Oryctolagus cuniculus: one gene and its partners. The protein of the gene in region 2 binds, or shares a complex with, the protein of the main gene of each other region. Links are inferred from orthologs where the notes say so. Each region holds a gene or a part of one and is shown on either strand. Other genes may lie near its edges.

Region 1 (3,645 bases), on a different chromosome or scaffold from region 2:
TGCTGCTTTTCTGAAACAAAATATGCTGGTGAGGAAAGCTCTTCCTCCTGGCACCTCCTCCTGTCTCTTTGGTGAGTATTACTCTCTCTCTCACCTTTCCGCCGTCTGCTCTCTGCTTTATTCCCACCCCTCTTGATTCTGTCCTGTCTCTGCTTCTCATCTGCCTCTCTCATCTGTTTGATTTCCTCCTGTTTGCTTCTCTGAGCTTTTCCCCGTCTACAGATGCTTTGTCTTGTATCTCCATTCTCTCTGTTTGCTTCTGTGTGTTTTCCTTGTTTGCCTTCACTGTAGCTCCTTCACCTTTGTGTGCCTGTGGCCCATTGCCTGAGAGCCTGAGTTTCCCTGTGTGCTCGCTCCCTGCTTGTTTCCATGCTTCCACCCTGCCAGCTGCAGGCACACTAACCACTCAGCAGAAGAAACCTGCGGCTCCTTCGCCCTCCCCGTTCCTTTCTGCTCTGATTCAGCGAGTACATTTGTCCTCTCCACAGTGCCATTCCACAGTAGCTGCCTGTGCCCTGGTCATGGCCCCATGCCTGGATCCCCCTCATGCTTGTGTGGCTGCCTTTCTCCCCACCTCCACCCCTGGCTGCCTGTGCGAAAAAGGGCTGGGCGACTTCTGGGTTGAAAGCCAAGGACATTTGTGAGGACTCCTGAAGGATAACTTGCAAGTCCAAGAAGCTGGGCTGTGGGCATTATGATGTGTGAACAGATAGCCTTTCTCTGTACTTGTACAGATGACCCAGGACCACCTTTAGGAGCTGTGAGGCTGCCAGGGCTTTGAGCCTCCCTCCCCCAGCCTGAAGTCCTGGAGGTTGTCCTCCTTGCCCCCTTTGGCAAGCACCCCTCAGCCCGGGCTCTAAGGACAGAATGGGACTCCTCACAGTCTTGTGAAAACTCCCTGTTAGAAAGGACTGGGTGCTCCTCTGTGGGTTCTTCATGGAATGTTTATTGTCTCCTGGCTGAGTGATGACATGGGGGATGGCTTGGGACAGGAGAGTGATCACACTGTGTAGATATACTTTAGTGAGTCCTCCATTTTTATTCTTGCTGTGGCTTTTGCTAGACAGATGTCTTCTGTCTTGTTCCTACCAACTCTGGGCCTCTTCCCTTCCTTTCTTCAAAGGCAGAGTGAGAGATGGGGATGGGGCCATTCTTTGAGAAGGGCAAGGTGGGCTTCAGCTCAGGCAGACCTCATTGAAGTGGACTGAAACGCGGGTCGTCTCTTGTGAAATGTGGCCTAAGGGTGGGTTGATCTTCCTGTGTGTTCCCGTACTGACCTTGACAAACAGTGTCCACCAGGCTTTCTTGGACTGTGCAGAATCTCACCTGAGCTCCATCTCTTAGTTCCTATTTCATCAGAACCAACAGAGGAGGCAGAAAAAGAAGATCTCCGAGTCCAGCTGAAGCGACACCACCCCTCCAGTCCTCTGCCTGGCAGTAAGGCCTCCAAGCGACCAAAGATCAAGGTGTCCCTTATTTCCCAAGGGGACACTCCTTCCCAAGGAGGAGGTGCTGAAGGTGAGTTTCTCGAGCCTGTTTAAACCCGAGTGGACCTGGCTCTCCCAGGACACAAAGTGTTGCTTCCTGGTGGCTCTTCTTGGAGCAGGCAGCTCAGCCTCTGCTTCAGTGTGAGAGAGACCTGGAGCAAAAATGGCACATTAATGGCAAGGGGGCATTGACTTCCAGGGACCGAGGGTGCCGAGGGGTCGTTCTGAGCATGGCATGTAAATATGTATATTTGTTTTGAATAGAGATAAAATATTCCAAAAAAGTTAGAAAATAGGAGAAGTTACCCTAATTCTTCCTCTAACAAAGTTACTCTTTTTTCATCTTCAAGTCTTTGTCCACAATATCTTGTATTTAGCCTGGGCTGTGGAACCTGGAAATGTAGGGGCCAAATAGGTCTGAGTAGTGTCTCAGGGCTTTCTGCTTTGCAGCTTCAGGAGGGAAACCCATCACCATGACACTGGGGCAGTCTTCAGCAGGGACCAAGGAGCTCACCGGACTCCTCACCACAACCAGGTGAGTTTGTTTCTCGGTTGCTGTCTCTGTTCCCTTCTTAGCTTCACTCCTCTGTATTATATGGTACTGTGGAAAGATGATAGCTCCTGGATTGTGTCATTTGTGGAAATGTACCTTCTTTCTTTTTGTGGTTTTTGTCTTTCTTTTGGATCAGCTCTGAGTTCTCTTGGCTCTCGTCCTAAAGTCTTTACTCTAGGCCTGACTTTGAGGACGACTAGAGGCTGGGTTCAGGAGGTGGGACAAAGCTTGGATCTAGTTAAAGCTTTGTCAGGCCCCACTGTGGACCTTCCCTGTGTTGCTAGGATCTGTGGCCCCCTGGCCTTTGGATGAGGGAGCTCCTTTCTTTGTCTTCAGGTCCAGTGCTTCTGAAGGTGGAGTCACAGCCGGCCCAGCCCCTTCGGTGGTCTCCAACAGTACCACACCCAGCACCTTGCACACACTCCAGAGCCGTTTGGTGGCCACTTCTCCAGGCAGCTCCCTCCCAGGTATCTTGTAACCCAGCATCTCCCCTCTCCCAGCAAATTCTTTTAGTCTGCTGCTGGGGGATAGTCCTGGGCAAACATCCCTGGAGCTGGACGATGCAACTCTGGGCCTCAAGACAGCATAGAGGCTGACCTGGATCTGGAATTAGCTTGAGCTGGGGATTCATTGGCCTTGATGACTGCAGTGAGTGGATGCCCCCAGTCTGCAGGGTCTCTATATTGTACTCTAAGGAGGGGAAGCAGTAGCTGGTGGGGAATGTATGTGCTGTGTTCCATTTGGTGTTTTAAATACATCTGACTGAAGAAAACTAGAATGGTGATGTACTGACAGCAAAGCAAGACCTTGTCCTTCCTGTGCTTGTGTCTTGCTTTCTACACCACCACCCCAGCACGCCCCATTGAAAGGCTCATTGCCTGAGCCCAGCTGGGCCTGGCATCACAGATGATACCCTTCTGCAAGAGGCCCTTCCTCTTGGCTTTGAGGCCACTGGACTGTGTGTAAGGTGAAGTAGAAAGCAGATATTGGAATTCTTCTCGTTTAAAAAGTCCTTCCTCTTCCCTAGAAATTAGGTGAGAATTTAGGTTTTTGAAAAGTGTGATTTGGGCTCTCTTTGGTTTTCCTAACACTGTCTAAAATGTAGTCTGGGTGCTTTGGAGCAGGTTGGGATGTGCAGAGTCAATCCCAAGGCAGTATCTGGCATAGTGCCTTTCCTCATAGGGCAACCAGTGTGTGTGTGTGCCTAGGAGACCTTCTTGGTATCTGAGCAGGCGAGTGTGTAGGAGCATTGGGGTTTTAGTTGGTAAGGATGAACAAGCATGGCTGCTCTTGGGATACATGCTAGTGATTGAGCTTGTTATATCCTCTCCTAGGGGCCACATCAGCCAGCAGCCTCCTCCAAGGCCTCAGCTTCAGCTTGCAGGATATCAGCAGCAAGACATCTGGTCTCCCTGCAAATCCTTCCCCAGGGCCAGCTCCACAGGTGCACATCTGCCTTCCACTGGGCTGGGCAGGTGTAGGGAGGCGGCCTCCTCAGCTTAGCTGATTTTTGCTGGGAGACTGGGTCTGGAGTCATTGGGTCCATGGCAAACAGCCTTCTTAACTGCACAGCTAGGGAGCCGTCAAAGGATAAGGTCCATCACT
Region 2 (3,745 bases):
TAGCCCAGGTCCTTGGGCCCCTGCACCCATGTGGGAGACCCGGAAAAAGCTCCTGGCTCCTGGCTCCTGGCTTCGGATAGGTGCAGCTCCGGCCGTTGCAGTCATCTGGGGAGTGAACCAGCAGATGGAAGACCTCTCTCTCTCTCTGCCTCTCCTCTCTCTGTGTAACTCTGACCTTCAAATAAATAAATAAATCTTAAAAAAAAAAAAAAAAGAGAGAGAGAGAGAACCAACACATCAATGAGAGCTTCTTCATTTAAAGGACATCTGTCCACTCTGCCCAAATAAGGTTTATCCTGTGAGATGAAACTTGGCCCAAGTGCCACCTGTTGAGAAACAAAGTAAAATCTCACGCAAAAGAGTAGGAGAAGCAGGAGGACTCTCCAAAGAGCTGCACACCCAAGCCAGTAGCTCTTAGAATGTTCTAATACTCCATATGAAGTTTCAGAGTAAACAGTTAATGACACATCTTTTGTAACACATGAATCAGCTACTGATTTGCAAGAGCAGGACACACCCTAGCACCCATGACTTTAAAGCACCTATTTGAAAGTGGACCTGAAGGTGGAACCCATCCCACTAGGACTAGAGCAGAATTTTACAACTACATAAGTTGTCACAATTTGAAGTTAAAAAGATGAACACATCATTATAATGGGAGATAATCCGAGACCTTCATTAATACTTTAACACCAGTAATTACAAACAGTAGCAACGCAAGGTAAGGAGTAACCAATCACTCCTGCAAAGCAATCTTCAAAGGGAGCAGTGACAGGTAAAGGGACTGAAGAACAGCAACTTCAAAAACCAGGATATTCTCCACTCTTCACAACACTAACGAAATGAGGCTGATGAGAGAAACACACATCTTACCTTAAGAGGCACCCGAATCGCATTCATAGTGTCAGAAGAGTTCAGACAAGATTCAGAAATGAGCAAACAGGGAGTCAGTGATCCCCTCAGTCACCAGGTAGGAGCAGGCAGAAAAACTTCCTGTTTTGAGAAGTTACCTAAAGGAGAGAGCTCTCAGTTAGACTAAAAAATAATACGGAATATGCAAGTAGTTTAAGCTACTTTTATATATATATATATATATATATATACACACACACATATATTTTTTTTGTTTGTTTCATTCATCCCAAAACACAGTACTCTTTGGAAAAGGGCAGATACTTGCATGTAAACATACTTTACCTGAAAAGACAAAGGTATGACATTTTAGAAAATATATAATTGCTTCTCAAAGAATCAGAAAACCAAAATCCAAGAAAGGGGAAAAAAATTTTAAGAGTACTTCATACACATTATGGAAAGGTGATTTGTTAACCACCTAAAAAAGGATCCTTACCATATTTAATTTTATATAGTAAATTAAAACTCCTCTTGATGATTCTGACCTAAAATTCTGAGCTTAAATTAAGTTTCAGAGCTGATTCTACATAATAAATAAAATCTATTGACCAAAGTACTACAAACAAATAAGGCACTTCTTCCCAGGAGATCTTTAAAGGAAACCCTTACAACTTCATTCTAGGATGAGAGGTGGCAAATCTGCCTGGAGACAGGAGGATGGACTAAATGACCTCTTGTAGGATCCTACAGTTCAAGTCCTAGGCCTGAATGAAATTCCAGCTTAACCAGTTACTGCTTCGCTTAAAATGGAGGCTTGCCCGAGTAGGGACAAAAATAACAGCACTCACCTCTTAAAAAAAAAAAATAAGGAAAAATCAAAGACTAAAGTATCCTCATTTCAAAAATAAAAACAAAAAGGCAAACCCTCCGGAGCGGGTCTGTTCCGGCTATGCCTCTGCACTTCGGCTTCGAGGACTTGGCATCACTCTCCGCCCCGCTCACCGGATCTGGGGGTGCCGGTGGGGGCGGGGTGCGAGGAGTTCGACTCTGGACCCAAGTCTCGGGCGGGGTCCGGACCCCTCTGCGAACCCCCCTCCCGGGCGGCGGGAGAGGAGAAAGGGGAGAGCCCGAGTTCTCACCCCTCCCCCACCGCGGACCCCAGTCCCGAACCTACCCTCCGCACCTTCCCGCAGCCGGGCGACCCCTCCGGCCTGACCCCCATTGTTGGGGAGGGGCGGATGGGCGAGGGGGCTCCGGGCAGGGGCGCCCGCGGCCGTGGCCCCGGCTCGCTCCGGGAGGGGGCGGCCCGCGGGATGCAGCTTCCCTTCCTCTCCGCGTCGGTCCGTCCCACCTCGGCTCGGCCTGGCGCCCTGGGCTCCCTCGCTGCCCCCGGCCCGGCCCACCCCCCGGGCCGCCAGGCCCTCCGGCAGCTCGGCCAGCAGCCCGCGGTCCAGGCCTACCGGTGGGCGCGGGGTGGGGGTCCCTGTGCCCCACACACGAGTCCCCGCTCCCCCAGCCCAGCCGATTCCAGGGCCCTCGGCGGAGCCCGTTCCGCGGGCCCCTCGACCCTTCGCCTCCCGGCCGGGCCGCCCCCTCAAAGCCCCCGGGTCGTAGCCGCCTTCCCTCCCCCACCATCACCCCTACCCACTCGTGCCCCCCACCCCCCGGGGCACCAGTGCCAACGGCAGCTCCCCCAGCCCCGGACCTACCTGCACGGCTCAACCAAGCCTAGAGTGGGGGCGGGGAATCTTCCGCCCTCCTCTGTCTCTCATTGGGCCTTCCGGGGCTCCTCGTGGGCGCCATTGGTCGAGAGAGGGTGTCCATCAGAGCGATGGGGCGGGACAGAGAGGGGAGAGGGATGCTGGTGCTTCGGCGTCTCTGTCTCTGTGTTATCTCGCTGTCTCTGTCTCTGTCAGGGCCCTTGGAAACGAGAGGCTTTTGGACAGGAGCTCTGGAAAGGGGCCCTGAGGTGGGAGGACTGGGAATCGGGAATCCCAGCGGTGCTTCTCACCAGTAGGCCACTCTGAACCCCCTGAGTCCCCTTGAGGTTCTCCTCTCCATCACCCCCAGCCCCTGCCCCTCACCCCTCTGGGTTCTTCATCCAGGAAGCGACGTGATGAAAACTCGAGGCCGGAAGGCCATAGGGAGAGATTTTATATATGAATCTCGAATTCGCACATATAAATGTTTATATGTAAAGCCAGTCACGTATACGGCTCCAAGGGCCTGGAGAGGGACACATCTTTTACAAACAGGGGAGGACTTCAGATAAAACCGATGGAAGAAGGGATCAAAAATCACTCCAGGCTGGCCACGGTGGTTACTTCCCGGAGGGCAGCTCCAGTGAGCAGGTGGGAGAAAGGCTTCCAGCTCACTGTATGGCCTTTGTATCCTTTGCTACTTTTAAAATCATTCATGAACATCCTAATTCTGAAAAAAAAATTTTTAATTGATTTAAATTTTTAGATAATCTGAGGTTGAGGTTGCAAAACCTGGAAATGGGGACAGCGTACAGATTTGGGGAGGAACCTTGGGTTTCAATATGTTCCATTCCAAATACCAGGGGTTAAGTGAGTGAAGGTGTCCCAGAGACAACTAAAGTTACAAACTTTGAGAGAGCATGGGCAATCTGGCTTAGAAAAGATTTAGAGCTCTCTGCTCACCACATGATAATGCCCAGAGTCTCCCCCACACATGTAAAAAGACACCACAGTTAAAGTCAGGAGGGTGAGAACGAAGGTGAAATAAGAGAAACAAAATATTGATGACACATGAAAGTTAAGGGAAGAAGCGTTTCTGGGAAAACAGAAATAATTGGGGCTGGTGCTGTGGTGCAGCAGGTTAAAGCCCTGGCCTGAAGTCCCCTGTGGTCACTGGTTCAAGTCCTGGC
Region 3 (3,745 bases), on a different chromosome or scaffold from region 2:
GTTACAACTTACTTTAGGGGATCTTCTTGATCACTGTCTATGCTATCAGCTTCACTGTCAGGGTCACCTCTCCATGTCTGATCCACAGTAATGGGTTCCTGCTCCCCATCACTCCAGCTGTCTTCATCTGAGGCAAGGGAGGGAGAGCAGCCATAAGACTTCCCACCTCTGTAACTCCACCACACAAAACTAGGTTACTTAACATATCAACTCAATACACAGGCACTGGCAAATAAAAACACAAGTATAGAGTGCTGATAAGATTATTTACAACTCAAGAGGTCCAAAAAAGTCAACTTAAAAAATTATTATTCTTTCCTGAAATAACCTAGCAAAGTGCTGAGCATAAAAACAGCAATGAAGGAAGAGTCACCAGCTCAGGAAAACAAACCAAAAGCAACACTATTTCAGATTTGAAAGAGTTGGTGAACATAGCAATCCTGGAATTCTCACCAGATTCCCAATAAATTAACAATACTGCCAGCACATTCAAGGCACTACCTTCCCTTTTCCACTACAGGGAAAGGCCCTTACCCAGGATGCGGCTGGCTTCACTGCGGCTACTTTCTGGAGTCTGGGAGCCCAGCTCCGACTTGGCATATGAGCTCAGCTGGCACAGGAGTGTTTCACCCACAGGCCCTGGGTTGGTCTTCTTCATCTGAGCATGAAGCGCCAGGGCATTCCTGCGGGCATGTTCCGCACAGAAGGACACCCTAAGGAGACAAAATACCAGTATTTCACCATAGTCCTTGATCCTCAAAGCATTTTTAAGCAATTCAAAGGACTATTTTATTCACTTCAAAAAGCCAATGAGTCAGAGGAATTTAACTGGCCCGAGATCAACTTAATTGTATTAAAGGAAAATGCAGATAACATAACCCAGCATTCCAACCAGCAAACAAAACATTCCAACTATAAAAATGTTGACATCATCTAGAAACAAATCAAAGAGATTCACTTTTCATCTTTCAATACTGGTTCCGGAAGGCACATTTTAATGCCAATCCACTGCAGGTTAATAAGATGTAACACACAGTTTTAAATTAGAGAATATATACAAATGAACAACCCCAGTTATATTTTTGCAGGGACGCCTCTGAAGTCATGAAGCCTCTTCCAGATTATACACACACACACACACAATTCGGCATATTATTTAACAAAGTTCACAGACACACCAAAGAGCCATACACCCCAAAGTAACAGTAATTTTCAGCATCCCTTCATTTTCAAGAAAAGGGGAAAGACTCCCTTCATTTTCAAGATAGATTGAAAGTAATTTCAATAGACTGAAAGATCCAAATTGAACTAAGTGATTCCAGTGTGTTTCCGGTTTTCACGATTTTAGTAATTTTCCAAGGATATATGCATAAGCCCGGTTTCACAAGGGCGTGACCGAAAACTCCACAGCTATGCAGAAGCCAACATCCCAGCACATTCCCTAAGAGGCACAAGTCTGCATACCCATCCTTCTTCTCTGGTTTCGGGGCAGCATTGGGACATCTTTTCCCATTCTTGGTCGAGATGTAACTGCACTGCTTGAAGGGCGCATTCTTGTCTTCAAGGATGTGCTTAATGCAAAATTCCTGCCCTTCCAGACGAGGCTGAGAGCACGGACGATGAGTGAACGAGCAAGACAGGGGCTCCTGAGACCTGGGCACCGGGGTGATCCTACCCCGACTGGTTGGCAAGACGTGAATCCGAATCCTATTCATACCAAAACCTGTAGGGTCACGCACAAGATCCAAGAGCCCTCAGCGCTCCTGAAAACTCCTGCCGCCGCCGCCCCCCTACATCCGGACGGACCACGTGCAGTCACTCCGCCTCGCCGCCCTCCCTCGGGCCTCCCGGGCACTTGCACACTTACCTCCCCGCCGAGTTCTCCCTCCAAGCCCGGCCCGCACCGCGCTGAACGCCTGTCCACGGCTCGCACGGCGGCAGCACGAGGCGAGCTCCGCAGGTTCGCGCCCGCCCCGCCTCCCCTGCGCACCGCCTTTGTCCAGGCCCGCCTCACAGCTCCCGCCCGGCCCCAGCGCCCATACAAGCGCCATTTTGTCCTAAGACCCTGGGCACCGGAGAACCAGGCTCCTGGGAGCCTACAAGAAAGGGGAAGGGTACAGACGCTGATACAGACGGGGCACCATGTCTGGGCCCACAGAAGGGGGTCTGCAGCAGCCCTCCGACGGGCACGAAGACCCAACAGCGCCGCCATCTTACCTCCACTGCCGCACTCTCCGGAGGAGCTCACCCTTCTCTGGCCGCGCCAGCCGCTCCTACCTCGGCCCGGCTCCTTTCCTGGCTCCCAACCGTTGATTGGCTACTGCTCCGCTGTAGCCGTGTCGCCATTGGCCGAGGCTCACTACCTATCAAGCCTGGAGGGGGCGGAGCGCTGAGAAAACGCGCGCTTCAGATGGCTGAGATGAACTGTCCGTCAGCAGCACCGCCCCAGGAGAGTTGCCCTGCGGCTGGCTGCAGCGTCCGCTGGCCGCGACTGTGGATTTTCTTTAAGACATGGGCCGGCCCCTGTGCTTGTGGTCTTAGGCTGCCGCTCCCTCAGCTTCCTTACACGGCGGGTGTAAAATCGGACAGAAGGACTCTTAGTATTTATATATGACAGAACTAGCTTTCTTTTATGAGTTCAGTACACGTACACGATGAACCTGAGGAAATTCAAGTATAAATTCATTTTCCAAAGCAGCCCTAAGGAGCAGAGGACCCAGGAGCACAATGGGCTATCTGAACCCAGCTATCCTGCGTTTTACTGCCTCTCACATGGTGGTGTGGAGCACTGGACCGAGAATAAGGAAACAGGAGTTTGGGGTTAAGCCTTGCTTCTCCTAAACTGTGCCCTGATAGCCTACACACCTTCCACAGGCACATGTTAAGTAATTCAGGTGTTATAGAAATGACACAACACCTGCTTCCCGCACACATGCTCGCTCTCTCCAGATCTTTCTTCCTCACCCAGTCTCCTGATCTCTCTCTCTCTCCACCGTATCAGACTTCCCCCATCAATAAACCCTTTCCCTTAACTCTGGTGTTTGGTGTGTTTTGTGGCGGCCCTACATCAACCTTTAAGGATTTTTATTAAAAACATCACATGTATCTCCATAACTCTTGTAGAAATGACCCAATACTGGAGGCCAATGCTGTGGCACAGCATCCCATTTGGCGCTGGTCCAGCTCCCTGCCAATGCACCCCGGGAAGGCAGGAGTAGATGGCCCAAGTGCATGGGTCCCTGCCACCCACATGGGAGACCCAGATGGAGCTCAGGTTCCTGGTTTAAGGCTGGCTCAGCCCTGGTCATTATGGCCATTTGGGGAGCAAACCAGCAGGTGGAAGCACACTCGCACTTTCTCTCCCCTCAACTCTTTAAAATACATCCTTTTTTTTAAAAAAAAAAAAAAATCAGTTTCGAGACAAGGAATGATTAAAACCAAATTGAGGAGTTGTGGTGAAATTGGATGGTGCTGTTTCCAGAGAGCAAGGCAGTCCTAGAAGGTGGCCTTTTCCTGAAATTCACACAACAAAGATTGTATTGAGCACCTAAGTGCCAGGCACTAGGGATACAGGGAAAACAACAAAACTTTTTTTAATCCTGCACTCTTGAACATTCTAGAACAGCTTAGGATTCTGAATACAAGTATCAATAGCGGTAATGATCTATATACAGAACAAACACTCCACACCTCAGAACGGGTTCAAAGATGTTTGTTACATACCCCCTTATAACTCAACCCTAGC

Evidence for each region.
Region 1: KANSL1 (region 2) and KANSL3 share a complex: the UniProt entries of both Homo sapiens proteins name them as parts of the NSL complex. The link is inferred for Oryctolagus cuniculus from reciprocal best matches to the Homo sapiens genes KANSL1 and KANSL3.
Region 3: KANSL1 (region 2) and KANSL2 share a complex: the UniProt entries of both Homo sapiens proteins name them as parts of the NSL complex. The link is inferred for Oryctolagus cuniculus from reciprocal best matches to the Homo sapiens genes KANSL1 and KANSL2.

The regions. Positions count from the first base shown.
Region 1 is NC_091433.1:111,115,499-111,119,143, forward strand, and holds part of KANSL3 (KAT8 regulatory NSL complex subunit 3), read left to right. Parts: coding exon 1-71; intron 72-1,344; coding exon 1,345-1,518; intron 1,519-1,937; coding exon 1,938-2,022; intron 2,023-2,376; coding exon 2,377-2,507; intron 2,508-3,374; coding exon 3,375-3,484; intron 3,485-3,645. UniProt on the Homo sapiens protein: Non-catalytic component of the NSL histone acetyltransferase complex, a multiprotein complex that mediates histone H4 acetylation at 'Lys-5'- and 'Lys-8' (H4K5ac and H4K8ac) at transcription start sites and promotes transcription initiation.
Region 2 is NC_091448.1:17,042,230-17,045,974, reverse strand, and holds the start of KANSL1 (KAT8 regulatory NSL complex subunit 1), read right to left. Parts: upstream 2,661-3,745; 5' UTR 2,565-2,660; intron 1,011-2,564; 5' UTR 874-1,010; intron 1-873. UniProt on the Homo sapiens protein: Non-catalytic component of the NSL histone acetyltransferase complex, a multiprotein complex that mediates histone H4 acetylation at 'Lys-5'- and 'Lys-8' (H4K5ac and H4K8ac) at transcription start sites and promotes transcription initiation.
Region 3 is NC_091442.1:52,177,232-52,180,976, forward strand, and holds the start of KANSL2 (KAT8 regulatory NSL complex subunit 2), read right to left. Parts: upstream 2,246-3,745; 5' UTR 2,052-2,245; coding exon 1,868-2,051; intron 1,724-1,867; coding exon 1,465-1,723; intron 714-1,464; coding exon 535-713; intron 128-534; coding exon 13-127; intron 1-12. UniProt on the Homo sapiens protein: Non-catalytic component of the NSL histone acetyltransferase complex, a multiprotein complex that mediates histone H4 acetylation at 'Lys-5'- and 'Lys-8' (H4K5ac and H4K8ac) at transcription start sites and promotes transcription initiation.